4 linked regions of the Oreochromis niloticus genome follow. The main gene of each other region encodes a partner of the protein of the gene in region 2 in a complex. Links are inferred from orthologs where the notes say so. Each region holds a gene or a part of one and is shown on either strand. Other genes may lie near its edges. The genes, in order: med24, med23, med25 and mediator of RNA polymerase II transcription subunit 13-like.

Region 1 (6,953 bases), on a different chromosome or scaffold from region 2:
TACTTGCATCGCTGATCTGCTTTGTCCAGGAGTGGCGTAAGCTTAAGTAAATACTGAAATGCTATGTTCACATCCTCCATGAAATCCTGGGAAATGCAACGTTTGCACATTTGAAAGTGACAAAGACAGTTTATGACATTACACACGCAGCGCTCAATATCTGGGTGTTAACTTACAATACAAAGATCAGTCAGGCATTTACTTTACCTGTCCTTTGTCACTCTGAGGATATTTCTTTAGTCGGAGTAGAACTTGCGGGATCTGAGATGAAGAAATCACAAGTTAATTTCATCTGATTTCTGTGGAGTGTAGACAGTAATATTACTACCAAATTAGTTTCATGCAGACAGCTCAGAGGGGAGATTTATAAAATCACTGCACAAAATTTGGCACACTATTCCTTCTCTAAACTAAAAATCCACAACAAACAGAGTCAAGGAAGCAGTTAATGATATAAACAGCAAGTAAAGGCAGCAAAAGGCAGAGAAAAAGACAACAGAGGACCAAGTTTTCTTCTTTGAAGTAGAGCTTACCTTAAGGAACGTAAAGGCAGTCCATTTAAGCTCTTCTGTGCCCTCTGGTGACTCAATGAGGCCAGTGAAGCAAGCTTTCCATATCTCCAGGACAAAAAGGGGAGCAGGAATTCGCTGATGGGAACAGAAACACTCCATTTACATCACACAAAACCTCACCAGGAAAGGCTGTGTAATATTTTGGCCAAAAGCTGAAATGTTTCTTTTCTGTGTGTAATGAAATTCCTTTGTCCTATAAAATCTGTCAGTCTAAATTTTTACTGTTTGATTTTTTTCACAGCTTAATGTTCACCTGCATTCGTTTGATCATCATTAACTGCTCCACCAGCGGCTGTATCTCTCCTGTCAAATTCATAGTCCCTTCCAGCATGATGAAGGCATGAACTGATGGAAAGGAGGCATGAACTGGAGGGTCACTCTGCTCAGACAGCATCATGGGAATACTGAAGAAGAGAGTGGAGAAATCGGCACAAAGAAGTCAGATGGGAGGCTTGAAACTATTGTCAAATTAAAGCTTAGGAGGATCATTTGCTCTGTATTAATGTGTCAGCCTCACCTTTTTACTAGTGACAAGCTCTCCTCTAATTTAGTAAGCAGCGTTGAGTTACTCACACTACTAAGACCATCTATCAAATTAAGCACAGCTTGCTCTACATTGCTCCAGGAACCTGTTGGAGAAAAAGCAGCAGCAGAAACACTGTTTAGATGCCACGATCGGCACAAAAACACACTTTAAAGATTTGGCCAAAAATGACAGTTTTAGCTTAAGTGACATTTTTGTATCACTATGGCTGAATGGCAATAATTTCAACAATTGCCAGATCCCATGCATATGCAGGTGTTTGCCTTAGAATGACTTAATATTAAAAGGCAAATAAACTGCCAACAAACTTTGAGAGCATGTTAATAGAGCCTCAGGTAATTTACACACTATATAGACGTACTGATACATCAGCAGATCTCAGCCAGACTTCACTGAGCACAACCCTATGTGTAAACAAATACCCACACACACTTATATACCTTGGTCCTCCAATCGGGCAATGTGGACTAAAGCTCTGTTCTTGGTGCTGTTCATCAAACTCTGGAGCCTTTCCTGGCAGGCTCCAAGACTGGTCTCTGTGCTGGCTGATGGACCCAGTTCTCTGAGCTTCTCACAGTACCACGCACAGCCCTGCACCAGCCACACTACCACTGCCAGCAGAGCCCGACAAAGCCCGATGCATTCCTCTGCTTTTCCGTGACAGCTGGATCAATAAGAGACAAGAAGCAGTGACATTTTAAGCAAGATGCACACTCACTGGTCCCTTTATTAGGTACACCTTGCTAGTACAGGGCTGGATCTCATCCGCTTCATGGTTTGTTGTGTTGTTTGATGTGTTGTGCATTTAGAGATGCTCTTCTGCATACCTTGGTTCTAATAAAACATTTCTGCATCAATCAGAATTTTAAAAGACGTGAATTAGATTAATGCAGATACATTAGAAACACTTAACATACCTAAGGCGATGGCAGAACATGTCCATTATTTCTAACAGTGACTTGACGCAGAGCTCCCGGGAAAAATCATCAAACTGTCACAGAAAAGACAAGTATTAAGATCATTAACATTTTCTTACAGTAAAAATAATTTTGCATTGAGTATTGTCATGCAGAAAACTACCTTGCTGATAGCCATAAGCACACTGGAATAAGACACCATCTATGGCAAGAGAGGAGACAAATCGCAACATGCAAAACAACCAACAAGGTTAGAGAATCTTCTCAGTTTCACACGTTTTCATTTGCTTTTTTAAAATACAACAGTGCTTTATCTCACCTGTGAACTTATGGCATATTTGAGATAAGACAAGATGAGTGGGTTAGGGGATGGTCCAATCATCGCCTGCTCCATCAACGCCTCTGAATTATATACAAGGAACAGTTAGAGCAACTTTAGAAAACACAAGAACCGGTATACTTAAACAGACTACTACCAACCTGCAAGGTTGAGATAGTCCCATGTAGCTCCCTTTGGGAAGTTTTTCTTGATGTTGATGGCCCACTGGTAATCACTCCAACGATCTTTCCAAGCCTGCAGAATGGCTTGCTTCAAATTGACCATCTTCATCCTGGCGGAGGAAAAAACATCAATAAAAATGGCCACAATTCAGTCACTGTTCGTTTTTACGCTGTAACACTCAAGCTTATTTTACACTATTCCCTAGCTACGTTAGCTTATGCTATTTGCTAATGAAATAGTTAAAGAAAACTTCTCCTGTCTGATGCCGAAAACAAACAGTTTTCACAATAAATTAACACCAAAACGAGTCTACAAAAGGGTGCTAAATCTGATACCTACCTGACGCTTTGAGTTTTTAGAAGCTTACGCTAAAATACATTTGTTTATAGGACCCCAGCTTCACAACGCAAGAATCGACGTTTTTGTTTTGAAAGACGTACCCGTTCATTGGTTAACCTCCTGACGTTTCAGTATTCTTCGCGCGGATTGGTTGAAGGGGAATACCGGCAGAGCTCCGCTCGACTAGCAGCAGATGTCGCTGTTTACAAAGGTAAGAATCAAAGCTCGACCTTAGAATTTATACCTTTTCCATACATAAGGAAATGAAGGCAGCAAAACTGTTGTTGTGCCTTCCAGTTAAGGGTAAAACATGAAACCAAAGAACTGAATAATTTTCTAATATAAACAGCTATTTTAGCGTGACACCTGTGATGTCTTGTTAGCCGTTTGCAGTGTTGTTTTGTTTGTTAGTGAAAATGAAGGAAAGTATAGTTCTTGCAGAGGCATGACTTAGTATTTTTGTGTTATGCAACTTTTTGTTTCTACTCCTTTAAATTTTGGAGGCAAATACAGGACTCTATACACCACCTTATTTATCGGAGATTTTAGCTAGGTTTAGATTACTCAGCAGTATGAAGACCAATTAAAACTAGCTACAACTACCATATTAAACTTGTTTACACAATATTGAATTGGTGATATTCTGAAATGAATCCTTATGTAAGTGCTTTTACTTTAGGTATTTTTAGAAGTTTTAGTTTTTAGAACAAGTCTTTCTAATACACTTATCTATATATATATATATATATATATATATATATATATATATATATATATATGTATACAAACTAAACAGACGCTTAACTTAATAACAACTGGTGTCATTTGTTTCCACATTAACCTAATTTTTCTTGTACTGTTAGCTGTAAAGTGATGACATAAGTTATACCTGATATAACTAAGTTGAATTTATTTTCTTTGATTATTTCATCCATGCATACAGTGAAATGCATTGTTGTCTTACATAACCACCTCATTCAGCTGTGTGATTCACTACCTCGGTGTAGCTCTTTTGTGTGTGCCAGTCCAGTCCCTTTCAGCAGGATTTTGTTTATTATGTCAGAATGTTGAGGTGGAAAAAAAGCAAAACAGGACATGTGTCTTTACAACAGTTCACACTCTTATAAAACCTGAAAGAAACAGGGGTGAAATAAACTATGTGGAAATGTGGAAATGGCTCCTTTATTTAGATTTAAATAAATAAACAAATCTGTTTATTCACAAAGCACATGCTCAAGAAGAAAATATATTCAGAACAATGCTGAAAGTGGCACTGGTATTTAAAAAAATTCTACTCAGGCAGGAGTTTCTCTTTCTCCTTTTAACTTTTGAACTCAGTTGTGTTTCTTGCTAAAAGGGATACTGTTCTCTATATCAAAACCACCCAACTACTTCTGTTAGGGAATATCCTGTATTGAGTTTATGACTACAAAGACCCTCATTCTGCCTGACACTGGAGACGGTGTCCTGATAGAGCGAAGTCTGTGTCCTGGGACGGCCCTGTGCCAGCCAGCAAGAGATGATCCATGCGTCCTGGCGTTGTCTTGGTAGGTGAGGGTTGGAGAGATTATGAAGTTGAGGTGTGTGTGTGTGCAGCGGTGAATTTGGGCAGAGTGATCTTATCCCCTTTGCCTTCTACATAGTGGAGAGCTGCATTAGTGGAGGGTACTGAGAGATCTGAGTCTACCCCTGGGGAGACCGGAGAGACTGAAGTCACAGCTCTGTGTCTGTTCTCATGACTTCACTGCCGGGACAGACCCAGTTTTGCTGACTCTTATTTTTCTTCTATGTAAGCTATTGAGTAATCCCATTATAACGGGACTCACTAGTTTTTAGTTTGTGGTGCTCAAAGTCTCTCAGGATTACCTGGATGTAGATACTTTCACTATGAAAGAACCCTGTATTGACAACTTATCTAATTTTGAAAATGGCCCATAGTTTTTAGAAGTATTATTTTCAGATGCTTATTATTTCTTCAAACTAATTTTTTTTAATTCTCTCAACACCACCAATACCTTTCAGCTACATAATAATGAGATAAACACAAGCTACTATCTCCAAACACCAGCAATTAACAATGAAACTATGTGGATTATGTGTTGCGTTGTGTTTTGTGTAATCAATTTATTAAATCCATTAGGGCCAATTGCTTAATAACCCATAATCATCCACCTGTATGGGGTGCACAGAGAGGCAGGAGATAATGATCCCTATGAAAGAGCAGAACTAAATAAATGTGATATTTCATAGCATGTGTTTCTATTAGATCTTTATATCTGTTATACTTCTCTATTCTGTTTTTTTTTAAAAAACACAACATTACTGTCATTCATTCTCTCCTGGGGCCTCTGGGCACACCAAGATAATTACCAAGGGTTCAGAACCAGGAAATGAGAGTGGCCCTCTCCTGTCCCCTCAGGTTGTCCAGTGATGTTGCTTCATGAATCAGGATAGACTAGAGGCAACTACTGTAACCAAGAGAAGGTAAGGCACATAATGTGTCAGTACATTTAATGTTGCATACAGCTTCTTTCTCTCAGGTTTGAACTCAAAATGAAAGTCTTTCTGGAGGGTGATGTAGAAACAGCAACTTTAACATAGGTGAACAATAAAGTGAGAGACATGAACATCTGGTTAAAGCTGTTAAAGCCATGGCAACCGACTTTGGGAATAACGTGTATGGGGAGGCTTTCTAAATTTGCTGACCCACTCTTGTAATGCAAACAATGTACATAGGGAAAGCACAGTTGCAGTAAATAACACTATAACAAATTAATATGCACTAAACACTCACCTTCCACTTCATTAGTTACACCTTGTTAGTTGTGGGTTGAAACCACTTTGCCTCCAGAACTGCCTTAATTCTTCATGGCATAGATTTAACAAGGTGAACATTCCTCGGGGATTTTGGTCCATACTGACATGAGAGCTTCATGCTATGTTATACTGAGATCTGGTGACTGTGGAGTCCATTTGAGGACAGTGAACTCATTGTGATGCTCAAGAAAGCAGTTTGAGATTATCTGAGCTTTGTGACATGGTGTGTTATCCTGCTGGAAGCAAGCAGCCATCAGAAGATGGGTACACTGTGGTCATAAATGGACCAACATGGTCAGGAACAACACTCTGGTGGTGTCTTAAGTGACGCTTTGTTGGTAAAAGTAAAAGTATTCCCCACACCATTATATTACCTCCAGACTAAATCATTGACACAAGGCAGGAGGGATTCACGCTTTCATGCTGTTTATGTCAAATTCTGAGTCTAGAATTTGAATGTTGCTGCAGAAATGGAAACTCATTAGACTAGGCAATGTTTTTCCAATCATTGTCCAGTTTTTTTAGCCTCAGTTTCCTGTTTTTAGCTGACAGGAGTGCCTCTGTAGCCCATCTGCTTCAAGATTCAGGTTGCTGTACAAGAGGTGCTGTTCTGCAAACCTTGGATTTAACAAGTGATTGTTTGAGTTGCTATTGCCATCCAGTCTGCCCATCCTCTGATCTCTGACATAAATAAGACATTTTCAACCAGAGAAATTTTGCTCTCTTGATATTTTCTCTTTTCATTCCATTTTCTGTGAGCCCTACAGATGGTTGTGTGGGAAAATCCAAGCAAATGAGCAGTTTTTGAAACAAGCCCGTCTGGCACCAACAACCATGCCACCTCCAAAATCACTTTTCCTCTTCATTCTGATCCTGAGTTTAGACTTCATCAGGCTGCCTTGACCATGTCTAAAAGCCTAAATGTGTTGAGTGGTTTTAACCCATATTAGAATTGTCGTATTGGTGTGCATAGAGAAGTTGAGGAGAATAACTTTGCTAAAAGAAAACAATAAACTTCTCATTTGACATAATAGAGAATTTCAAAATTTTGCCATTTCTAGTGTTTGTATTACAGCATTTATAGAACAGACAAAGAGCACAAAATATCAGTAAAATATCCCACGCTTTAAGAAAAAAAAACAACTTGGAACTACAACATGCAACTGATGACTGTAGCACTAACAAGATACCTGTAGATAGCAAAAATGTTAAATTTCAATATTTTAAACAATAATTTTAGACTGTAGTTAGGTATGGCACTT
Region 2 (7,853 bases):
ATGGGGATCCCAACAAAGTCCCATTTGTTGAAAACCTTCGCCACCTCACTCCCTGTTTCCACCTGTCGTTTTCTAACTCTTTCTATTCCTCTTCGTCACTTGCTTGGCTGACAGAAACATTATCTAGCCTCAACCTAGCTCTCGCCACATACTCCTCTTCACTCAATCTTCTACCTCTCCCTGAAAGTAGAGGTACATCCAGTCCTCTTTCATGATTGACACTAAAGTCATCTAGCGTGATATCAGATTGGTCCGAGTGGGAGGCAGACATGTTTGGAATGTTCTGTGGGGCATAAGCAGACATTAAAGGCTCATTTTCACAGTTATTTCCTTCCTCCACACCTCTGTTTGCCACTCCCTCCCTATCTGTGCTCCAGATCACCTCTCCACACAGCTCTTCTCCCCTTTCTACTTCCTTGATTGTTTGCGGATTTAACCGAATGCTTAATAGTAAACTTCTTATCGCTCCATCCTCCTTTGATCTCTGAAAAGACTGTAAACCTGCAAACGACCGGCCCTGCAACTGCATGGGGGTTGGTCTGCATGTCCAAGTAGTGTTAGCCTGAGGCGCGTAAGCTCCACCAGAGTTAACGCTCTCAACTCTCCGGTCTCCATCATCTTGATTCCCTCCCCTTGCTTCCTCTTCTCCTTCAACAGTGATTTGAGGAGCCATGCTGATACCCCCGTAGTCAACAGACAAATCATCCAAGGGTTCCTCGGGCTCTAAGGGAGGCTCATGCCTTTGGGGGGAGTACCTGGGTGGGGGATCCACAACTTTTAGAGAGGCGAGGAGGTGTTTAGGGTCTAATATTGTGCAGTCTCCTGGTGGCTCAGGGCTGAGGCGGCTCACTAAGAGGAGGTTGGAATTCTCAGGAGGGAACACAAGAGGAAGCTTGTAAAAAGTAGATGCGTTCTGGAAATTGGAGGGGAAGGAAAAAGGTATGAAATGTTTGATAATCTGCCTTTGAAACACTGCTGAAACATATTATTTATGTGAATTTCAAACAATAGTCTCAGTTTGCAACTATAATTATGTCACTGGGTCCCTACAGTGAATTGTTAAATTCATATTTAACAAAAAAACAAAAAAAAACAAAACAAAAACACCACACCACCCACCCAATCTAACCTACATTAATTAAATTAAGTTCAGGTTAGGTATTGCATTGCCAGTATGTTTATATGCATTTCAATTACCAGTATATTTGGACTGCGCTGGTCTTTCCCAGACAGGTAGCGATGGAAAAGGTAGCCAGCTGCAATGATCATACCAATGCACAAAGCTGGAACAACAATACCCACAATCACACTTTGCAGCTGCTCAATCACAGGGTCTATAGAAGAAGAAGAAAAAAAAACAAAAAAAGAGGGTGAAGTCAGTAAAAATATTTATTCATCCAGCTTCTGATGACATTTTTGGGCTTGTCATTTGAAAAGAAAATAAATCTAAAATCTGAACCATTTCCTTGACCGACATATTTGGCTCACACAAGGAAGTACAATACACCTGCTGCACAAACACTAATTGCTCTTCAGCTTTGATAACACATTTATTGACATTCCTTTCTACATTACATCCGAATATTCTTATTTACAGACACGGTCACGCAATGGAGTTGTACCTTGAGATGTGGTTATGCAGAGCCATGCAGAGGACTGGCAGTGGATTGGCATCGTTGGGAATTTCGACTGTGCAGAAAAGCAGTATTCCATGTTGTACTTCATCAGCCGGTATTTGTACACGCTGCCAACAACTGGGAAATGGTGCTAAAAACCAACAAGTGGACAGATTAGGCAATGCTAGAGAGTGGGAAAGAATTTTGTAAAAAATTGCTGCAGAAAAACCAAAAAGTTTATGCTTTGTGGGTGTAGGTTAGTTTGTCGTCATAGCTAAGCAATTAAAAAAAAACTACCAAAAAAATGAAGGTGTAGTAGGTGACTCAGTGCTCTACAAGGAAGTTTTCAATGTAATGTCTAGCATGAATCTTTTTATTTGTGCCTGACAATCCTGTTTTTAAATGAAAGCAATTCAGGGCAGCAACGTCAGATAGAGATTATATCACCACGTCCTAGAATTTTAAAACTTTTCTTAGTATGGGCAGTCAATCTATAGTAGTCATATATATTTCTACTTGATTTATACCTACCGTGTGGTTCAGATGGGTGTTGTGAACAGAAAGGTTGTAAATCATTTCGGGGTAGAGTGTCGCCATGGAAAGCGCTGGGGTGTGGTTGTTTGATGGATACCTCATCGGTCCCTTTATAGTGATGATGGCACTGGTGTTTTCAATTTCCACAGAAAGCAGTGGGGGCCCCAAAGTAGCTACAAGGTTGGACAAACCTTTGTTGTTTAATGTGTAAACATGTTAAATATATTGTAATGCTTTTGTTTCTTTAACTTACTTTCTGTCTTTGGATTGAATCTTCTGGGTATGAAAGCCCATTTGGAAGACACTCCCCTCTCCACAGCACGAACTTTGGCATAGTAATCCTCATCCGCATCCCACATTTCACTGGTCAGATCACACCACGTCCGCACTATTTCTGTACAGTGCTGCACTGCCTTCCAGTTCACCCGTTTTCCCTTCTTACCTTGAATTCTGTCTCCATAGCTGGCAAAGACAAAGACCCACACACTCAGAGGTGAACTTTTGCACAGGTTGAGCAGAGTTTGCTTAAAGTCACAGTCAGTAAAGAAAATGAACTTAAACAAAGCAGACCGATTTTGAGATCTTGTTGCATTTTATTTCTTTTAGCCTTGCTGGAACTTTTTTTTTTTTGCCAATAAATCCCTTTGGGACTGCATCCAGGCTAGTTCTTGGGAACTATGAATTTTTATTTAAACTCTAAAACATTTACTCACATGGCATATTGCACTGTGTAGAGCGTTTCATCTGCATGATTGCCTTTTCCTGGAAACCACTGCAGCACGTTCCTCAGATTTACAGAAGAGAAGGTGACATTGATGGGGCTGGGGACAGGCTGGGAGACTGAGGGGAGCGAGACAAGAGGTGAGGTGCCTGTCATCAGAATATACACCAGCTTCTAGTTGTCCTGACTGACCTTTAAACTTCTCCTGTGTTTAATGGTACTATTAAACTAGTTGTCCACATATAACCGTAAGGTGTGAGCTGTCACTATGATTCACTGCCTTTCAGACTTTGTTCCACCTCACACAGTACACTCGGCTCCTTATAAATCATTTCAAGTAGGCAAACACCATAAAAGTGTTTGATCAAAGATTCTCTATGGGAAGATTATCCAGACTACATTTTCTGTTTGCAATTTGATCAAAGAATGCCTCTCATGCTTTGATCTCCCGGGTGAGAAACCCGAGTCTGTAAAGTGACTTTACACTTAAAGTAGAGCTCCATGCACTAATACATTTTGTGTGTTAACAAAACCACATGCGTTTATAGCTCGAACAGCCGCTTTCTGTACTTAAAGTGGACGAACTAAATTACAATGTGTTAATGCTTTTAGAAGTTCCCAGTTTCATTGCAGATTTCTTTAATGATCTCATCGTTGGCTACTGTTGTAGCATAAAAGTCAGTCCGCTTGAATTGAATAAACGCCATAAAACTAACCGCACAAAATGGAAACAGTGGAAACAAAGAAACACAGCATCCACAAAGTAACAACAAAGAAAACAGATATTAGCACTTAAATGCAGACCTACCTGTGGAGTGAAAGCTATAAAAAATGAAAAATGTGAATATAGCCAACATCTTTGTATGGAGTCGTCATGTTTTCACAAAAACAAAAAAGCAAATACTTCCAGTCCTCTCGGCAGGTTCCCCCCAGCTCCTCCTCATAGTACACCTGCTCGCAGTTCTCTCGATTAAAGGAAATTAAAACCACGCACTCAAGGTTAAAGTGAAAGAATGTAGCTAAAGTCGGAAGAGTTACATGAAACTGCCACCCAATGAAACCCCGTGGACTGCAGTTAAAGGAATCCCTGCGACCTGACAGGTTTCCGTGTTTCTTATGGGAGAAGGAATGTGACCTTACTCGTTTGTGAACAGTTCACCTGTCAGCCGCGCGCGCGGGCGTGGGCGTGTCCGCGTCCATTGAGGTAATAGGCTACAAAAATCTAAGCTTAAGTATAAGTACTTAGTAAACAATCAGATCCACTCCAATATGTGAGAAGAAAAATACATTATACGTGACTCATTTCCAAATAAATCCGTGAGCTGTGTTTAGTTTTGCTGTGGTGTGGCGTGTGGAGGCTGTTAAGTGGAAACAGGTACAGTTTCCTTAAGATGCTCCTGGGGTGTTTATCCGGATAGCAGCCTGGGTAATAAGGTGCACCATGTTATTTCCTTAGTCCCTTTCCCCCCAGCTAATATCCTCTCTCTCTCTAAATACACTGTCAAATGAGATTAGATATTAAAAATTAATATTGACCCTACTGAGTTAAACCTGGGTAACCCATTTGCAAAGAGAAAGCTGTTTTGTTTAAAGCGTAAACATTTACTCTTACTCTTCTTCATCACACCACAATTATTCCACCACGAACCTCACGAAAGCTATAAACAAAACATGGAAAAATCAATTAGCAAATATCGAGAAGAACAGCAGGTGCTCAAACATCGTCCATTGTGACATCTGGTGGCCACAGATCTGTCTTAGTGAAGGGACAGACTTTTGAATACAGATTTTAAACTCTCAAAAATGCGAGCGTTGTGAGAAATATTTGAAAAAAATAATATTATTAATGTGTAACTTTATTATTTGCAAATTACTGAGGTATGAGAATTACAATTTATAATAATAATTAAGCAAAGAAACAATGGAGCGGAACTGTTCCGCTTGTGTTTCCGTTGCATGCCCGGATTGTTTTTGCCATCGCGCTTCTCCTGCGGCGGCTTTCATTCTGCTTCCTTTTAGCATTTAGCTTGTTGGGGTTATCGACTGTGCTCCCGTAGAGGAGTGACGGGTTTGAATTCTGGGATGGTTCGTTGAATAATTGTCTTTTGGTTGCAAACATGGCGCTTTCGATGGAAACGCAGCTTCAGAGCATCTTTGAAGATGTTGTGGTAACTTGCATCTTTGTTGACTGAGTGGCAGCCAAGCTAACATTAGTTAGCATTTCAGATAACTGTAGTAGTATTTTCTATTTACTGAACTTACTTTGGTTTGCAAATATAACCAGATGGTGTTTTTACTATATGTCTCCAGCTCGCTAACATAAGAATTAACAGCTAAGGGTGCACCGTTAATATCACAAGTCTTCACTTACGTTAATGCGTTTTTATTTTCTCCTTTTTTTTCTTAGAAAACTGAGATGATAGAAGAGGCCTTTGCTGGGTAAGGCTGCTCTGAATTCATGTTAATAACCCCCGATATTTTGCAATTGCATTGTTATTAGCTTAGGTGTAATGTAGGGTGCCACAAACGATTATTTTGATAGTCGACTAGTCACCGATTATTTTTGCGATTAGTCGACTAATCAGATCATGCATCCATTGAACGTAAAACGTACAGTTTATTGCACTAGCACATGTCTGCTCTTATATAACTATCATTAGCTTACAGCTTGAAGTGTTTAAGGTGCTAACTAAAAATAAAGACAAGAGGATAGTTTATTAAATTTAAATGAAATTTGCAGATTGTTTCGGTGGAGTTTAATAAACGCAGCCGTCTGCTCCTTGCTATCTAAAATATAACAGGACACCGGAGTATATTCTCGAGCATCTCACACTTCTGATAATCAGTTGTCTGCTTGACGTTTATTCAGCTGTGTAAAAACTATAACTTTAATCTCAGCCAAACCGATTTACTCAGGAACAAATAAAATACTGAAAAAAGCCCAATAATATCATTTTTAAGTTATCTAAGTGACTTGTACATCATGTTTAACCTGAGTAGCGAAAGACGGCGGTGGGTTTGAAAACGATTTGCCGGGAGTCCGGTGTTCTCACCGGCTCTAGTGAGCCTTGAACCCCGGCTAGGTATCGAGCTAATGGGTAACAGACGTCTCCGAAAACGTCGGAGCGCTTTTGAAAATATGTGGTGTCTTGATAAACTGAGCAGATATTTGAAGTTTACACAGCTACATTCTCGCCTGAAAATATATTAAACGTTTATTTTGTGACCCAGAAAGAATAATAAGAGTAACATTAAAGCTAACTAGCTGCCGCCATTGTTGAAAACTGAGCAGGGCCGCGCTATGAATTCTGGGACACAGCTTCTTCTTCTTCGGGGTTTAACGGCAGCTGGCATCCTTGTACATGCAGTGCTGCCATCTTCTGTTTCAGTCCGTTATTACACTCTTAAATCCTACTACTTATTCCTGCGTCTTTTGGGATCTTACAAAGCTTCAAACGACGCGTTGACTATTAAATTAGTCGTCGACGATTTTGATAGTCGACATAATCGTGACTAGTCGACTAATCGTGGCAGCCCTAGTGTAATGTTAAGTTACTGCACACTGGTAGTGCTGCTGGATGTTATAGTTATAGTTATAGTTTTTACACAGCTGAATAAACGTCAAGCAGACAACTGATTATCAGAAGTGTTTTAGCAGTAAGACTCACAGGCCACTTTGTTAGGTGCTGGAAACATTTCTCAGAGATTTTGGTCCATATTGACATGACAGCATCACACAGTTGCGACACAGATTTGTCGGCTGCTCCATCCATGTCGTCAATCTCCTGTTTCACCACACCCCAAAGTTGTTCTGCTGGATTGACATCTGGTGACTGTGGAGATCATTTGAGTACGTTGAACTCATTGTCATGTTCAAGAAACTAGTTTGATGTAATTTGAATTTTAAGACATGCTGTGTTATCCTGCTTTGCCTCAGTTGCCTATTCTTAGCTTACATTGCCGGCATCCATTATGTTCCTCAGCCGCTGTAGTCCATCTGCCTCTGGGTTTAACATGTTGTGTTTAGAGAGGCTCTTCTGAATAGGGGGGTTGTGTTTATTGGAGTTGCTTTTTCGCTCCCATCACCTCGAAGCAATCTGGCCATTGTCCTATGACTTCAACAAGGCATTTTCCCCCTGAGAACTGCTGCTTGTTGCCTTTTTTTCTCTTTTCTGGACCATTCTCTGAAAACCTTAGAGATGTATATGTGGGGAAAGTCCCAGCAGATCATCAGTTTCTGAAATAATCAGATCAACCTGTTTAGCACCAACAACCATGCCATGTTCAAAGTCACTTAAATCACCTTTCTTCCCCATTCTGATGCTCAGCTTGAACTTAACTAGGTCTTCTTGACCATGTCCACATGCCTAAAGGCAGTTAGGTGATGTCGTGTGATCGATTGATTAGATAACTGTATTGAAAAGATGTGGCTAACAAGAGTGGCCGATGTGTGTATATTAAAATGTACGGAGCAAAATTAAATGCTAAAATTAAGAAGTGTGTTTTTAGGATGTTTATGGACACTCCAGAGGATGAGAGGACTAAGCTGATCAGTTGTCTTGGAGCCTTCAGACAGTACTGGGGAACCCTGCCACAGGTTTTTACACACACACACACACATGCACTCCCACTTGCTCACACTTACATGGCTGAGATTTTTCAGTTGCTCCAACGTCTTTCTGCAGGAGTCTCATGAACAGTGTGTGCAATGGATTGTGCGCTTTATACACAGTCAGCACAGCCCCAAGAGGATCTCCTTCCTCTACGACTGTCTGGCAATGGCTGTGGAGACCAGTCTATTACCACCCAGGTACACAGAGACATATAGTGTGAGATTATTTGACACCTAAAGAAGTAAAATGGGTTCAAAGAATGATTTATAATATTTCCATATATTAATTTATTATATTTAATTTATCTGTTTTATGACATCCCAATATAATCTGTTATTTGTCTATCTCATTAATCTTCGTGTCTTTAGG
Region 3 (7,357 bases), on a different chromosome or scaffold from region 2:
TTGCCGCATGCATGGCTTTAAATGATGAATGCTCAGGAAGTTCTGTACAAGATTAGAAACTGAGGTAAAATCCATAATTAAACTTTATTTTATTACTTTTCATTGCTGGTCCATGATTTCACAGAAAAAGGTAATTTTCTATGAAGATTTTTAAAAAATACTATCAGATCTAATACTCTGTGCAGGGGTGTGTCCAGAGGAGGTCATGGGACGGAGCTGTCTAACCATAATATAACTGAATTAATTATCTTTGAACTAATGACACAAATACAATTTTAATGCATTCATTTAAATATATCTATGTTACTCCACTTTCTGCTTCCAACTCACTATATGTTGGATCCAAATATTGTACTTTGTTCTCCATGTCATTTATTTTAAAGCTTTTAGATATGATTTTAAAACATAAATTTAAATTTTGCCTTTTTTATATGTTTTTGTTTTATTTTTTGTTTTTTTAATATCTTTTTTATAGTTTAAAGTGATTTACACATTAATGAATAATTGTGATCTAACAATATAATGCCTGTGCTTCTGGAAAGGCCCCTTCCCTTTACTTCAGGTATCTTATTTATTGCTAAAACTTTTCATACTAATACTAAGTCAGATTTTGACATTGCTACTTCACCACTTTGCAAAATAGTTATCCAATGCTGAACAATTTTCAGGCTCTTGTGCAGCACAATTTTTTATGTATTACATTGTTTCAGGTTGCACACAAGCCTACAAATCACACCCAAGGTTTTCAACACAAATTTTTCTACATTGGATTTATTTCTGATCAAATATTACGATTTCCTGTTGGCTGCTTTTCTTTCACATTCCTGGAAACGCCTCTGGTAACCTATTTGTCTGGTAACCTATTTGTGTGGATGCCACTGTATCAGCATGCTGGCTGTGATTACCTGTTGTGAGGCGACCATCTGGCCCTCAGCATCCCAGCTGGGTACCAATGTCAGGAGATGGATTGTCTTTACCACACCACCTGGACCTTGCAGACATAGATAGCTACGGCACCAACTATATTTCTGATTCATATTGTATTATGTAATTCTCTGACCAAACAAGGAACATAAGAGGAAAAAAAAAAGAAAACACTGTCTGGTCTTCCAAAGGCATACACAGAAAGCAGGCCTTCTGTAATTGCTTGGCAACTGCTGGCATTGTGTGAGTTGAAGTTCAAAGCAGCGAGACACACTGTATATTCCTCTAAGCGGCAGAAAGCATCAGAGTTGCAAAGTAAAGGGATGCCTACGCAGGCACATTCACACACACACACACACACACACACGAACATTCACCATCCATTCTGTCAGTTTAATTTGGCCATGATGCTCATTCAAAATAAAAAAGCTCTGTGGGGGAGCTAATGTTTGCATCCAGGGGGTAGCCTTGGGCATAAACCCTCCCTCAGATGAACTTTCTTTAGGTCGCCTGAAGCGTTCTTGCTTACTGACGCCCAAATGGAAAAGCTGCTTGAGCCCACAGCTTGTTGCCCTCCTTAGAATTTAGGTTAAATTGATGTGGAGCATTGTTTCTGTGGGAGGGTTTGAGCTTGATTAGCTCTGAAGCGCTTTGCTGAATGCTGTGCTAAGCTGACTGACTGGCTGGCATTACCACAGGGAAGGGGATGCTATTGTTGGACCCACAGAAGCAGCATGCCGATGTGTTACAACTACAGGTTAGCCTCTGGTGTATTGTGCTGATCTGACAGCAGTTAATGTGCCGATAGCTGCTGTGGTAATTATATTCTTGTTTCCAGCACTGAGGTTGCAAGGGGAATGAGAAAGCCTTTTTATAGAACAATGAAGTTATGAAACCATGAAATCCAGAAAAAAGCAACAACTAGGTTAAGCATGTCAAGCCTAAAAATCACAGGTCATGCTTTGTGGTGAAGATGTTTTTCTCAGTACCATGGATTTTGTCTTGGTAGCTTTTCCTATATGTAACTTACTCTAGACACATAGCTACTATAGATAAACAGTCTGACACTAAATTAAAGGAACTTTAGGTTAAAATCTGTAGCCTGCTCTCTGATAAGACCATCATCAGTTCATCATCGCTAGATATTTGCTGACATCTGCTGGAGGTCTGGATCAAAAGCACTTGGATATCTCCAGCGTTCGTCCTCAGAACCCTGTTCGAAACACAAAAGAGAAGATAGTCTGTTTTTTGTTTTTTTGTTTTTTGCTGTGGCAACACTCAAAGATTTCAATTTCTGTCTTTTCAGTACTGAGCACAAGTTTGTATTAAGCAAATTAACATGTGATTCCTGTCCTTTGCACTTCGAGGGATTTCATCTGAATGCACCTGCCATTGTTGTCTGTAATAGTCAACTGTCTGGATTTTTAAAGTCTAGATTTTTAAAGTGTAGATTTCAGTTTTACCCTTGAGGAAAGCCCTCTGGCTGCCTCAGGTTGGTCATTAGATAGATTTAAGGAAAGATAACTGGAGCCCTTCCTCATCACTCAGGCTACTGGCAAAGCACTGAAAAGCAAAGATGAGGTTTAGAAGTCTGAGCCAAGACAATATTCACTGATGACCCTGCACCTCCATGCTTCATTATGTGGAGCAATATATATTGAGGGCATTTCATTTTCAGTAATTGCTTACAAGTAGCCAGATAGCAGAGACGTCTGGGCCTGCTCTGGGCACTTACACATCAGTTATGGCAATGGCAAATGTTTATGGGCCAGACATGGTCTAAAAAGTCATGAAGTGGGTTCCACCAAGTTAAGCGTGGGCTGGAAGTGACCCAAACACTTAGTCATACCTTTGGAAGCGAGAAAATACCAACACTGTGAATGAAGAATTAATGGCTTGACTGTTTTTTGTTTTGTTTCTTTTGTTATTGTTTTGATGTTGTTGTTGTTTTTATTCAAAATAGAACTAGATGAATTTAGCATTTAGGAAAACACCTGGACAGATCATGCTCTTAAATGTTATTGTGACATTATTTACATGCATGTTGCCTCCTCAACACTTTACGGTTTAGTCTCTGTGTTTCCTACTTCTTTTCATTTTATATATAATTCATCATCCAGTGCATATTACTCTGCATACTAGATCAGGTGACCTCTAACCATCCTTTATTCATGCTGCTATAGGCTCAGACTGCTGGGGAATTTCTGTTTATATGTCACAACTCCATGTTACCAAAACTTTGTCTTCTGTCCCTTTTTGTTTTTTATCCTCATCTCTCCACGCTCCCCTTCCCCACTGTCACCACGTTCTTGGTCATAGGGGATCATCTGAATGTTGGGATTCTCTCTGTCTAATATTGTGTTCACCTTGCAATAGAACGCACCTTGAGCTGACTGTTGTTGAATTGGTGCTATTTAAATAAAATAAACTCAAAATGAATTGGATATAATCAGGGTCTTGGCCTTCAGTAAGCCTAAGAAGACAACAAATAAATTCTCTTCTTATCAGTTATAGAAGAAACAAGGTAACTGGACTTCTTTAAGCTTGCAAAGACCCGTATTTACATGTGCCACTGAATTTAATCTGCTGTTCAATAAATGAATATCTGAAATGCTTGGATTGTATTTGTTGTCGTGGCTGTAGCTGTATTTTCTATTGCATGGTATACGTTTGCAAAAGCACTTGTTTAGGTACATATCTGCTATTTGGGACCAGACAAAAACATCTTTGACTGATGAGGACCAAAGCTATTAGTTTTGCATTTTCTAATTAGATTTCATTTTTATTTCATTTTTATTTTGAGTTTTAAGCTCAGTTTAGTGAACTGGCAATACTTTGGTTTAGTTTTTTAATGTCTGAAAATGTTTAGATTTAGTTTAGTTTTCATTACTATCAGGCGTTGGTTTTATTCTTTGTAAGGGGTATTAATGTGAATTGTTACTTTTTGTGAAACCGATATTGAAACAGTGGTTCATTTATTCTGGTATTGCTGGTTTACGAAACATCTCTGGAGCATACTTTCACGTTTTGTTTCTGATCATGGTAACCCTAATTTTTCATTATCCTGGAAGAACGTTTTGCTTGGTTACAGTGATATTGACAGTGTATTCACTCATCCAAGTTCTCCAGTCGTAAGCCAAATTTCACTGGATTACTTTTGATAATAAAGCATTACATTTTCTCAGTAATGGACAGCGAGAATTGAAAATACCTTAAAACCGTGTCATCGTCTTAAAGACTTTAATATACTTCTATAATTTTGTGTGTTAGAACGGCTTGAAAACCCTGGTATTTTGTGTTTATGGTAATTCCCAAGTTGTATCGTTTTCGTTTATTTTCCTTGTACTCCTTTCGGTGTTCTTGACAACCTGATGTATGCCATGTTCCGCTTTGTTGTTATTAATAAAGTTTTTTGGGTTTTTTTAGATTCTTGGCCTCTCGTGGGCGTGTCGTTTCGTCACTTCCGTCAAAAATACAACAAATGCTCAGGCTAACTGTGCTGTGTAGTTCAAGTTAATTTTTAAAGTTATAGTTTGGTCCAACCGGTTCAGCGGTTCGTCGGACAGCCACAGTCCATCAGGTCAGTCTACATCACTTAACAGCTTGATAAAGGCTTGTTAATTGGGGCTATTTGAACTATATTAGCTTAAATCGCTCACTGACGTTTGCTGTGCTAGCTAACGCTAAAACGAAAGCTGTGCGCACTTCAGCTGTTGTTGACTTCGTTAGCTTGCGTTTTACCTCCCCTTGGCGATAATGTCGATTAGCAATATTAATTATGGATTAATGATTAGCGATTTGAGTACCAGCTAGGTTTTAGGTCCTACCTTTAAAACTGGAGCGCACAGCTATCGCAGCAAACATCTGGTATTTTATCACCGGTTTAAAAAAAAAAAAAAGAAAGGAAAAAAAGAAAATATATTTCTCGCAAGTGTGCTACATTGAAAAACACAAGTGCTGTTTTTGTTTTTCTTTGAGAAAGAATAGAAAACTGTTACACCTTCACAGAGGTGAAGTCACATGCTTCCATCGTACTGTAGCTGCTGGATGTCCGTGAAATCACTATCTTACATTGGAGTGTTTCAGCTCAGAGTGATTTACTTGTGTATCTGACAAAACAGAAACGCAAAAAAGCAAATAACATAGATAATCGAGCTCGAATTAAGGTAAGAGATCAAACAGGAAATTAAACAAGGTAACGCTAAAGATGGTATCCCAAAAAGTTGAAGCTGTTCATATGGACTTTGCGTTTTCAGTTGGAGAAACGTTTCGTCACTCAACCAAGTGAGTTCTTCAATCTCAGTTGACTGCAGGTTATAAACAGTGCATTTGCATAATGACTAAAACTAACACCACTGGTGACTATTGGTTTGTGGGGTCAGTACTGTACTGTTTAATCCATGGGTAGCTTCAGATACTTACTCAATAGCTGGAAGCATGCATATATATATAAAAAAAAAAAAAAAAAACACCCAGCACGCCCCTGCGGGCGGTTTATCCTTCAAGCTCGGGTCCTCTACCAGAGGCCTGGGAGCTTGAGGGTCCTGCGCAGTATCTTAGCTGTTCCCAGGACTGCGCTCTTCTGGACAGAGATCTCCGATGTTGTTCCCGGGATCTGCTGGAGCCACTCGCCTAGCTTGGGAGTCACCGCACCTAGTGCTCCGATTACCACGGGGACCACCGTCACCTTCACCCTCCACATCCTCTTGAGCTCTTCTCTGAGCCCTTGGTATTTCTCCAGCTTCTCGTGTTCCTTCTTCCTGATATTGCTGTCATTCGGAACCGCTACATCGATCACTACAGCCGTCTTCTTCTGTTTGTCTACCACCACTATGTCCGGTTGGTTAGCCACCACCATTTTGTCCGTCTGCATCTGGAAGTCCCACAGGATCTTAGCTCGGTCATTCTCCACCACCCTTGGGGGCATCTCCCATTTTGACCTCGGGACTTCCAGGTTATACTCGGCACAGATGTTCCTGTACACTATGCCGGCCACTTGGTTATGGCGCTCCATGTATGCCTTGCCTGCTAGCATCTTGCACCCTGCTGTTATGTGCTGGATTGTCTCTGGGGCATCTTTACACAGCCTGCACCTGGGGTCTTGCGTTTTCAGATATATGTCCAGATGAACAGAATCAATTTTGGGGGATTTACTTACCTGGATGATTGAGCATGCATCAAGACACTAAAGATAGTAGTTCGGACAATATTAAAAAAATTAAAATGTAATGTTTTCTAAATGAATATATATGAAATGTGAAGTGAATTTACATGTTTTTGCTTTTGTTTAGTTTGAAAGGAAAATAAACAAGCACAACTTTGTTGACGCTGTTGTCCTGACTTTTGAATAGGGGTTTGAATTGTAGCCCAATGTGTCTGTCTTCTCACTGTGCTCCAGAGTATACATACGGATCATAATAGATGCCATAAATACCACAAGGGCCTTTCATCCAAGTTTTAACAAAAGTGATTTTTAGAATTGTTTTGTCATTTTCAATGTCAATTATATTATGAATTATATTTGTTGAATCAAGATTCAAGAGTATCAGAAATGCATTAAAATAGAAAGGTAGGTGAGAGGCTTAGAGTTACATGTACCAAATCCTGCTAATGCTGGTGTTGAAGAAATGAGTCAGACTAAATTTATTTTATGTCTTTTAACCAAGAAATGTTTTTCACACCTAATTTTGGTTGTTATTGTAGTTTTTTTTTTTTTTTTTAAACTATGATAACTTTCTCCTCTGTATCTAGATCTATGGTGGCAGGTTCGGCACTCATGGAGCCATCCAGTAAACCTGGGCCCAACCAGGTGGCTGATGTGGTGTTTGTCATTGAAGGGACAGCGAACCTTGGACCATACTTTGAATCTTTAAGAAAAAATTACATACTTCCAGCTATTGAGTAAGTATCTAAAGCTACCCATTGTTTCCTAAATCATTAATGTCATGTAGCTATGAATTAATTTTATTTCATTCACCACAGGTATTTTAATGGAGGGCCTCCAGCAGAAACAGATTTTGGTGGAGATGTGAGTGTTACTCTAATTCCTGTTTTCTAGCTTTTTAACTGCTTATCCAACTTAAGGTTGGGTTGGGGGGGGCTAAAACCTTTCCCAGCTGACATAGGGCAAGAGGCAAGGTACACTGTAGACAGTCTAATCTCTGTTTTTAATGCTTTAGCTTGCATTCCCTGTCACTGTTTGCTGAAATTCAGATATCTTTTTTGAATTCTGTGGATGATTTATTATTACTATTTTATGTTTTCTAGTACGGGGGCACACAGTATGGCCTTGTGGTCTTCAACACAGTGGACTGTGCTCCGGAGTCATATGTCCAGTGTCACGCGCCAACCAGCTCAGCCTTCGAATTTGTCTCCTGGATCGACAACATCCAGTAAAAATTATTTCCCTATTACACCTTTTAAACTGCCCCTT
Region 4 (7,252 bases), on a different chromosome or scaffold from region 2:
ACATTTGGAAAACACAGCAGTGTTTGTCCCTGAAAACTGATTTTCGCAATCACATTAAAGTAACGTCTTCATAATGTGTAAATCCATGGCTAGGAATGTCTCTAGTTCTGCCTTATCAAAAGCAATCAACTACATGTGCAAGCTGCATCACAACCTTAAAATAAATTTCCTGTGGGTGGTCAAACATGGCACGGTGGTGCAGTGATTAGCACTGTCGCCTCACAGCAAGAAGGTTGTGGGTTTTAATATACCGGCTGGCTGGCTGGGAAATTTGTGTGGAGAAAGCACGGATTGCTCTATTAGCCCAGCAACAGACTGGTGTCCTGCCCAGGGTGTACCGTGCCTCTCGCGCTATGACAGCTGGGGTGTCCACCACCACTATAACCTTAAATTGGATGAGCAGAAGAAAATAGTTTTATGGAGGCGGCCTAACAAGATGACAATTATTTGTGTTTTTTTATTATTCACACCCTTATGTGACCATTTTTTGGCCCTCATATTAGATAAATAGCCTAAATGTGTGCTACTCTTGATTATAAACTTGACTCTAAAATAACACAGTGGATGTGGATGTTATTTTTTGACATGTACCTAACCCACCCTGGCAAAGGCAGCCCCTTCTCCAAGTGTCAGCTGCCTCGGCAACGGAGCAGGGTGACCCAGCACGCCGTATAAACACTGCTCAGCACTGCCTCCAGGAACACAGCAAAAAGCACAAAGTACTGATTTGGACTCCAAAGATCCCGATCAGATCAAGTGACCATGAGATTTGCCAGAACAAACGCGATGCACAGATATCTCACCACCCAACGAATCCAAAGGCTCTGCTGCCCACATTCCCATGGGAGGTCCTGTGTCTGTGCCCACATGAGTCAGAGCTGTTTTGGTATCACAGGGGACAGGGCTGATTTCTGTGAACAACTTTTATTTGCTCCACAGCAGTTTCACAGTTACAGGAAATGTCTTTGTTTGACATTGTTCATGTGGTGCAAACCTTTTCAAGCGTATTAGTAACAGAAAAAAAAATCTTACTAATAAGGATGTTTTCCAACTTAAACTTTGGCTGTTATATCTCATCATAAATATTTCATATCACTGATAAATATTTACGAATTGCAACCACATTTTTTAGGAGCTTTAATAAAACTTGATGTCCTGCCTGATATAAAGCGTCCTTTTACATGTCAGGAGACACACTTCCTGAATAAAGCGCACGCGGATGCACGGCACAACTAAACAGATTGTCCGGACAAACATATTATCTTTAATCACAGCAGTAATGCTTCCTTTCTCCTCGGTCAGCAGGGGCCTGACAAAGGGGAAATGTGTGGCATATTGAAATAGATTTATTCAAACTGATAGCATCTCATCCTATCAGCTTCACACCAAGTGGGCCAAACTGTCTTCAAAGCCTTTAAGGGTGTATTGAACAAAAGAGGGGGGGAAAAGTGTCCAAATGAGTTCTGGATCATTCCTGGAGCAAAGGGATCAATAACCACCAGGCTAAGCTCCTCTCGCTCATCCATCTGATTCATATCTTGCCCCCTCCCTGCTTTTTTTCTTTTCTTTTTTTTTGCGCAGATATAAGAGGAATCACCAGACTAAAGGCTTCTGCTCTGTGGCAATATGTACCAGCTACTGGCTGTTTTCTCAAATACATAAAGCTGTACGTAGTGATTAATGTGAGAACTGAACCAATGTCAGGATGGACTAGATAAGTCAGCATATTGCGATCTTCACTGGAAACATAAGGCAACAAAGGGAATATACAGACATCCATAAATAGCTCTGTTAGATCTGGAATTAGAGGTAACGTCTCTTGTGTGGAAAGGATCTTCTGATTAGCCTGGAAGTGCCACTGAGCAACTGTTTACACACTTCAAATAAGGTTCAGATGGCTGCATATTTCCCAAAGCTGCAACCCAAGTTTGCATCACGTGTCCACCTGACAGTCATGGCTCACATGATTACATTAATCAAAACACTACATCAGTCAGTTATTGTTAGTATTATTACAAATACTGTCTTCATATTACTAATTTCTTTTTATATATATTATTCATATATGTCACTTTTTGAATGCATCTAATGATTCATACAAAGGCTGTGAGACACTGGTTGCCCTTCTCAGCTGCTTTTTCTCTAAAGATAACATCTCAGTTCAACAGAGGGAAAATAATACACGGGCAGGTGGTTTTGCGGTGTGTAAGCACTTAAAAATCATTATATGACTCCAAATGAAAAAGTCAGATCAGGTCAGTGTTCAATGACATATTTCATTTTTCTGAGGGCGGAGAGATGAAAAGCTTTTGGGCTAAATAAAGTAACTATTGAATCTTAAGGCCTCTAGGGGGATCCACATGCAAAGGTCTGCATATTCTTCTGTTTTGAGCAAGAGCAGCCCAGTTACTTCAGTGTAGTCAGAAAAGACATTCTCTTTTCAGATAAAAAGAGCATCAGGTTAGCATATCTAAGTAAACGCTGAGCAAGCTTAAAGACCGAAGCCAGTTAACTTTGATATCCAACCATAAAGAAAACCCAGACAAATATAATGTATGTACAGCATATGAGTCACTAACAGTAACACAAATATTTTATGTGCTGACTTCTGAATGGCCTCTGCAGTACAAGGAAAGAGTGTCTGCATAATAATGCTTTGTTCTTAAGCCTCAATGGAGACTGCTTGACACAGGACCCGAACCGCATGTTTATGGATGGAGTTTACAAAATCTCTAACAGTACACTTGTAATATAAATATAACTTGTGTACACTGCATTGACAGAATAATAATCAGTACATATTATTATAATGCGCTTCCACTGTATAGATTAAATCAAGCAAAATTGGAATATTTCCAGGCAATGTCATGTCTCTGGTATTCTCCCTGGAAACTTACCGGACTTACTGTTTTTAAATTTGAAATTAAAACTTAACAACAAGCTACACGTTAAAAGATATTTCCTAGTTCTTAATTTTCTCGCTTTTCACATTGTTTATTTGATCATTTTCATGCTAAAACAATAACAACACATATTACAAAGAAAACAGTGTTCAGTGACAGCATTTGCTAAGTGTATATACAACAGTTGATCTTGAGAGGAAACCAACAAATCTCTATTCAAACCTGCATTTATCAAATGTGTGGCCTTTATGTTTTGGAATATGTAAAGCTGTAAGCAAATTACAGAGGTACTTTCACTTTTAATGCTGTTTTAATGTATAGTAAAAGCTTTAGCAAACTATTGCCCAGTTACCAAAGCCTGAATGGGGCCGTATCAGCAGGCTACTATTATCTCCCAATATTAGCTATTTGTTGATCAATCATTAATAACACCCGATAGATAAAAATGTAAAATGCAAAGAGACGAAAGAAACACCCTTCAGCATAGTTTCATCACCAGGTGAATAACTTAATAACTAACTGGAATTCGGTATCTTAATTTAAAAAAAAATGTGCTTGACTGTTTTCTTTTTTTGTAAAACTGTACATTTGAAAATTCATTGATGACAGCAACAATTATATTTTAGCATTAAAAATATATTCAAAATGCATTTCAGCATTTTTAAATGTTTTTAAAAATAAATATTTAACTTTATTGACACCGTACACTAAAACAATAGTTGGGGCTTGGGGCTAGGGTGGGGTTCATGGTGGGGCTAGGGTGGGGTTCATGGTGGACTTGACTCATGATAACCGGTGTATCTTTTAAATCTTAGCTGCGGCCCTGAATACAACCACTCTAAATAACTCCCAATCTTTGGTTTGAGTCATATTGAGTATTTTTATTTTTTCGCGTGAGAAAAGCCTCAGAAATGTTTTCAGATAATATGTGATGCACATGCTGAGTGTAAGACTAACCTACATAGATATCTCTTATGAAACACAGTGTGCTCAGTAAGTCATTCTGACCTCTATTCTGTCACATCCTCTGTTGTGAGAGCACAGATACATTATGTAACCAATGCATCACAGAATGACACCGTGCAGTGATAAAAAATAAAAAAATATAATAAATAAAATAATAACCCTTCACTGCGCGTTTCAGGCAGAACAAAAGATCACAGAAACAAAGCGCACATGGCAACAATAAAGGAATCTCGGCGACTGTCGCGTCCGCCTCTAATATCAAATACACTCAACTACTGTAATCCTGGACTTTGATCACGTGAGTACAAACTTGGCCAAATGGAAAAGGCGAGTCTCGGGTAGTACGCTTCCGACCGCCATTACATTACAATGCGCGGTGGGCTGGACGATCGTGCGCGAAGAAACGCCACAGCGCTCGGCGTAAAACAAACAGACACGGAGGGTGAGAGTGACACATTCGGGCTGCGCGCACGCATACACTTCCATAGCTGCATAATAACGCCATCTGAGAGATAAACAATGAGGAAGGAGTCGCCGCCGAGGAAACCAAACACGCCTTTGAGGATTTAATTCAATAGCGAAAGAGAAACAGGAGGATGCGCTTTTAAATGCCGAGGTGGTGCTTTATGAGACATTTCAAATATATTTATATCTGCAGCATGCAACATATTCTTTATGTCAGCAACGGGCGCCAGACAAGGACGGCCACTTCTGCTTGAACTGTGCGTTTTTAAAGAAATCCTACCTGATATATGTATTTTTTTTTTCTGGTGTGCAAGACTGAGGCTGTTGTGGTCGCGAGAGGACGTTTCGTAATGATATAAAGCTGAAAGGAAGGAAGGATTTTTTCAAACCTCCGTCTGCACAGACGCCTGTTTGTCGTTTTCCTGCTGGTGGAGTGAGCCCTGTAAGAATAGTTTTTTTCTTGTCTCAACGCTTTGACTCATGATTCAGGCTAACTGAGGAACCCGCTCGACTTTGTCCGTCCTGCCGCGGAGGTGCACTTGGTTGGTTGGTTGGTGTGTGTTTGTGTGTGTGTGGAGGGGGAAGCTTTTTCTTTTTTAGAGACCTCTCCGTCTGCGCTCCCGTTTAATTCAAGAGCAACAGAGGGATTAAACATTCCTGCCCGCACCACCCGTTTGTGTGTGTGTGTGTTTGTGAGAGACACGCACACTGGGGTTACATTATTGTGAGAGGAACGGTTGTGACAAGAAAGACGGCTATAAATAGCACACGCGATTCTCGAAAACTATCACAAGTGGTGCATCAGCTTGTGGAAACGGAATCAGATATCCTGCGTGCTCCTCAACTTGATTGTTTCGCACTGCAGCGATTATATTTCAAGAAGTTTTGACTCTTTAATTTTTTTTGTTTGTTTTAGGAGGAGGAGAGGAGAGGAGGTAGGCTGTTCCCAGAGCGAGGAAGAAAAGGGAGTCGTCGTCCCCCCCCCCTACAAATGGATTACGGTCATTTAATGATGAAACTATCCGCGGAGAGACTGATTTGGAAACAGGCGGATCTTCCTCGGGATTGAAATGGATACATTTGTGCGCTCTCCGGCTGTTGACAGTGATCAGATTTGGAATCGCCCGACCTGGATTGTAACAATGTTGTGATCCCCCGCTCACGCTTGGATATATCAACACTACAACACAGGCATTTTTTTTATTTTATTTTTATTTTTTTAATGCATTCTGCACTTCTTTTTGAATACGCCCATCAGACCACTCCGAGCCTATTATCCGGACCTCTTGTGAGGTTATAAGCCTGCTTGTTTTGTTTTTTTTATTTAATTTTTTTTTTTATATATATATTATTATTTTTTATTTTTTTATTTTTTGGGGGCAGACTCGTGAGGGAACCGATTTGTCAGCCCCTGCTCGGTGTTTGATAACCGATGTAGGATTTCGACATGCCCTGCGCTGACGACCCCAAAGGCGGACCATTATGACTACATCGGCGAATTGGGTGGCTAACGGGGCAAGCCTTGAGGACTGCCACTCCAACATCTTCTCTCTGGTACGGTATTAATAAATCACGTTCGTCACAGACACGCGAGGCGGTTGTGATGGACAAGTCATAAGACAGTGGGGAGGCATGCTTTAATGTGTGCCTGCTGTACAAAGGTGAACCAATCGGTGATGTTGTTATTAGGCAATCATTAACACGGGTTAGTGATTCGGAATAAACAGCATATTTCATCACTATATGCCTGATATCATAAAAGGAGGGTTTAACGAGAATAAATCAACTTTGCTATCACATTTTCAAACCAAACCAAATCTCGTGACGCTTTAAAATGCAGGGTTCAAATGCTACCACAACTGACTGGCCAATTATTTGTGTGTTTGCATGAATCTGGCAAGTAAACAATAGATAAACAGTCATTTCTTTTCTCCCTATGAAGAGCACAGTGGCCATTATCCTCCACCCCCTTTAAATAATCATTTCACTGGAAATCTTGCAGGAACTCTAATGCATTGCCAAGCAACTAACTTGGAAAGGAGCCCTGCTGCTGCCACTGTCAGATATCTCTACAGCCAGAGACTAAAGAAAAAAAACAAAAACAAATAAAAAAACCCCCCAAAACTCTGATTTTCAGAAAATAATAGTTTTATGCATGGCGCTGCTAGAAAAAAATGCTACCTAGCTCATAACTTGGAAATAGAAGAAGATCTGAGAATGAGAATTAGTGGAATAATTGTCTCACAGGAGATTTTTTTTTTTTTTAAAAAAGCAAGAGAGATCTTGACAGGCAGCATCATGTATTAGGCACACAACGGAAGCAGCACTTTCGCACTGAAAACAAGGTGTTTTTGACTCTCCAGGCAGCAGCATTTTTGCAGAGGGTGGAAGGGAACTGAGCGGCGGTGCTTTCACAGTTTTTCATCCTGCAATCAGCGAGTTAACTGTCTTACTACAACAGGCAGCCAAGTGGAAAGGCATGCAGTAGACTGAGCTCAGGCGCAGGCTGCCGCTGAGAACCACAACAACATATGGGTCCTGGGGGGCTTTAGGTGATCATGCAGGTTGTCGACCTGCAACAGCAGTTGGGCCCCTGTTACACTACATACAGAAGTTATAGAGGCACATGTCACAAAGTATGGTCATGATTTAAAAACCACGACACAAAACAGGAGATAGGGGAAGAATAGACTTTGTAGTTAGCACAGAAAGTCAAAATGAATCATCACTTCTTCTTTCTTGTGTACTTGAGTAATATTGGTGTCTGTAACTGGAACAAACGGGGGAATCTCGAGCTATTTGAGACGCTTGTTTGGATTGCAGTCGCACAGAAACACGGGCATTACGCTAGAAGTCTTAAATTTTCTCAGCCTGACAGAAAAGAAAACATCGATTGCCTCTCTGTCACCGTGTCATTC

The links.
Region 1: the proteins of med23 (region 2) and med24 are in contact, whole or in part, in a cryo-EM structure (PDB 7EMF), measured with the Homo sapiens proteins. The link is inferred for Oreochromis niloticus from reciprocal best matches to the Homo sapiens genes MED23 and MED24. Residues at the interface, in NP_004821.2 of Homo sapiens: Asn150, Thr151, Val152, Ser153, Ser154, Glu193, Gly194, Leu196, Pro197, Trp199, Leu201, Gly202, Asn203, Ser206, Asp207, Asp210, Arg213, Tyr258, Asp259, Lys260, Phe263, Ser1133, Arg1139, Ser1176, Glu1180, Glu1182, Trp1183, Val1184, Tyr1186, Arg1189; in NP_055630.2 of Homo sapiens: Lys238, Thr239, Leu280, Leu283, Lys287, Val291, Glu295, Cys336, Glu339, Phe340, Lys343, Leu344, Thr345, Pro346, Leu347, Asp349, Lys350, Gln353, Lys384, Glu720, Lys721, Trp723, Thr756, Arg757, Lys758, Glu759, His760, Met802, Asp803, Pro804.
Region 3: med23 (region 2) and med25 share a complex: the UniProt entries of both Homo sapiens proteins name them as parts of the mediator complex. The link is inferred for Oreochromis niloticus from reciprocal best matches to the Homo sapiens genes MED23 and MED25.
Region 4: med23 (region 2) and mediator of RNA polymerase II transcription subunit 13-like share a complex: the UniProt entries of both Homo sapiens proteins name them as parts of the mediator complex. The link is inferred for Oreochromis niloticus from reciprocal best matches to the Homo sapiens genes MED23 and MED13L.

Annotation. Positions count from the first base shown.
Region 1 is NC_031973.2:19,694,387-19,701,339, reverse strand, and holds the start of med24 (mediator of RNA polymerase II transcription subunit 24), read right to left. Parts: upstream 3,006-6,953; 5' UTR 2,875-3,005; intron 2,645-2,874; 5' UTR 2,644-2,644; coding exon 2,514-2,643; intron 2,436-2,513; coding exon 2,353-2,435; intron 2,236-2,352; coding exon 2,197-2,235; intron 2,108-2,196; coding exon 2,034-2,107; intron 1,781-2,033; coding exon 1,557-1,780; intron 1,202-1,556; coding exon 1,090-1,201; intron 977-1,089; coding exon 826-976; intron 648-825; coding exon 534-647; intron 262-533; coding exon 208-261; intron 87-207; coding exon 4-86; intron 1-3. UniProt on the Homo sapiens protein: Component of the Mediator complex, a coactivator involved in the regulated transcription of nearly all RNA polymerase II-dependent genes.
Region 2 is NC_031980.2:6,316,219-6,324,071, forward strand, and holds the start of med23 (mediator of RNA polymerase II transcription subunit 23), read left to right. Parts: upstream 1-4,836; 5' UTR 4,837-4,988; coding exon 4,989-5,039; intron 5,040-5,278; coding exon 5,279-5,310; intron 5,311-7,380; coding exon 7,381-7,468; intron 7,469-7,556; coding exon 7,557-7,681; intron 7,682-7,852; coding exon 7,853-7,853. Other genes in the region: il20ra (interleukin-20 receptor subunit alpha), read right to left, coding at 83-913, 1,198-1,334, 1,623-1,767, 2,148-2,323, 2,404-2,612, 2,864-2,990, 3,680-3,728. UniProt on the Homo sapiens protein: Required for transcriptional activation subsequent to the assembly of the pre-initiation complex. Component of the Mediator complex, a coactivator involved in the regulated transcription of nearly all RNA polymerase II-dependent genes.
Region 3 is NC_031969.2:29,553,635-29,560,991, forward strand, and holds the start of med25 (mediator of RNA polymerase II transcription subunit 25), read left to right. Parts: upstream 1-4,346; 5' UTR 4,347-4,504; intron 4,505-4,952; exon of another isoform or gene 4,953-5,090; intron 5,091-6,675; 5' UTR 6,676-6,679; coding exon 6,680-6,825; intron 6,826-6,906; coding exon 6,907-6,952; intron 6,953-7,191; coding exon 7,192-7,316; intron 7,317-7,357. UniProt on the Homo sapiens protein: Component of the Mediator complex, a coactivator involved in the regulated transcription of nearly all RNA polymerase II-dependent genes.
Region 4 is NC_031972.2:20,820,863-20,828,114, forward strand, and holds the start of mediator of RNA polymerase II transcription subunit 13-like, read left to right. Parts: upstream 1-4,239; 5' UTR 4,240-5,816; coding exon 5,817-5,888; intron 5,889-7,252. UniProt on the Homo sapiens protein: Component of the Mediator complex, a coactivator involved in the regulated transcription of nearly all RNA polymerase II-dependent genes.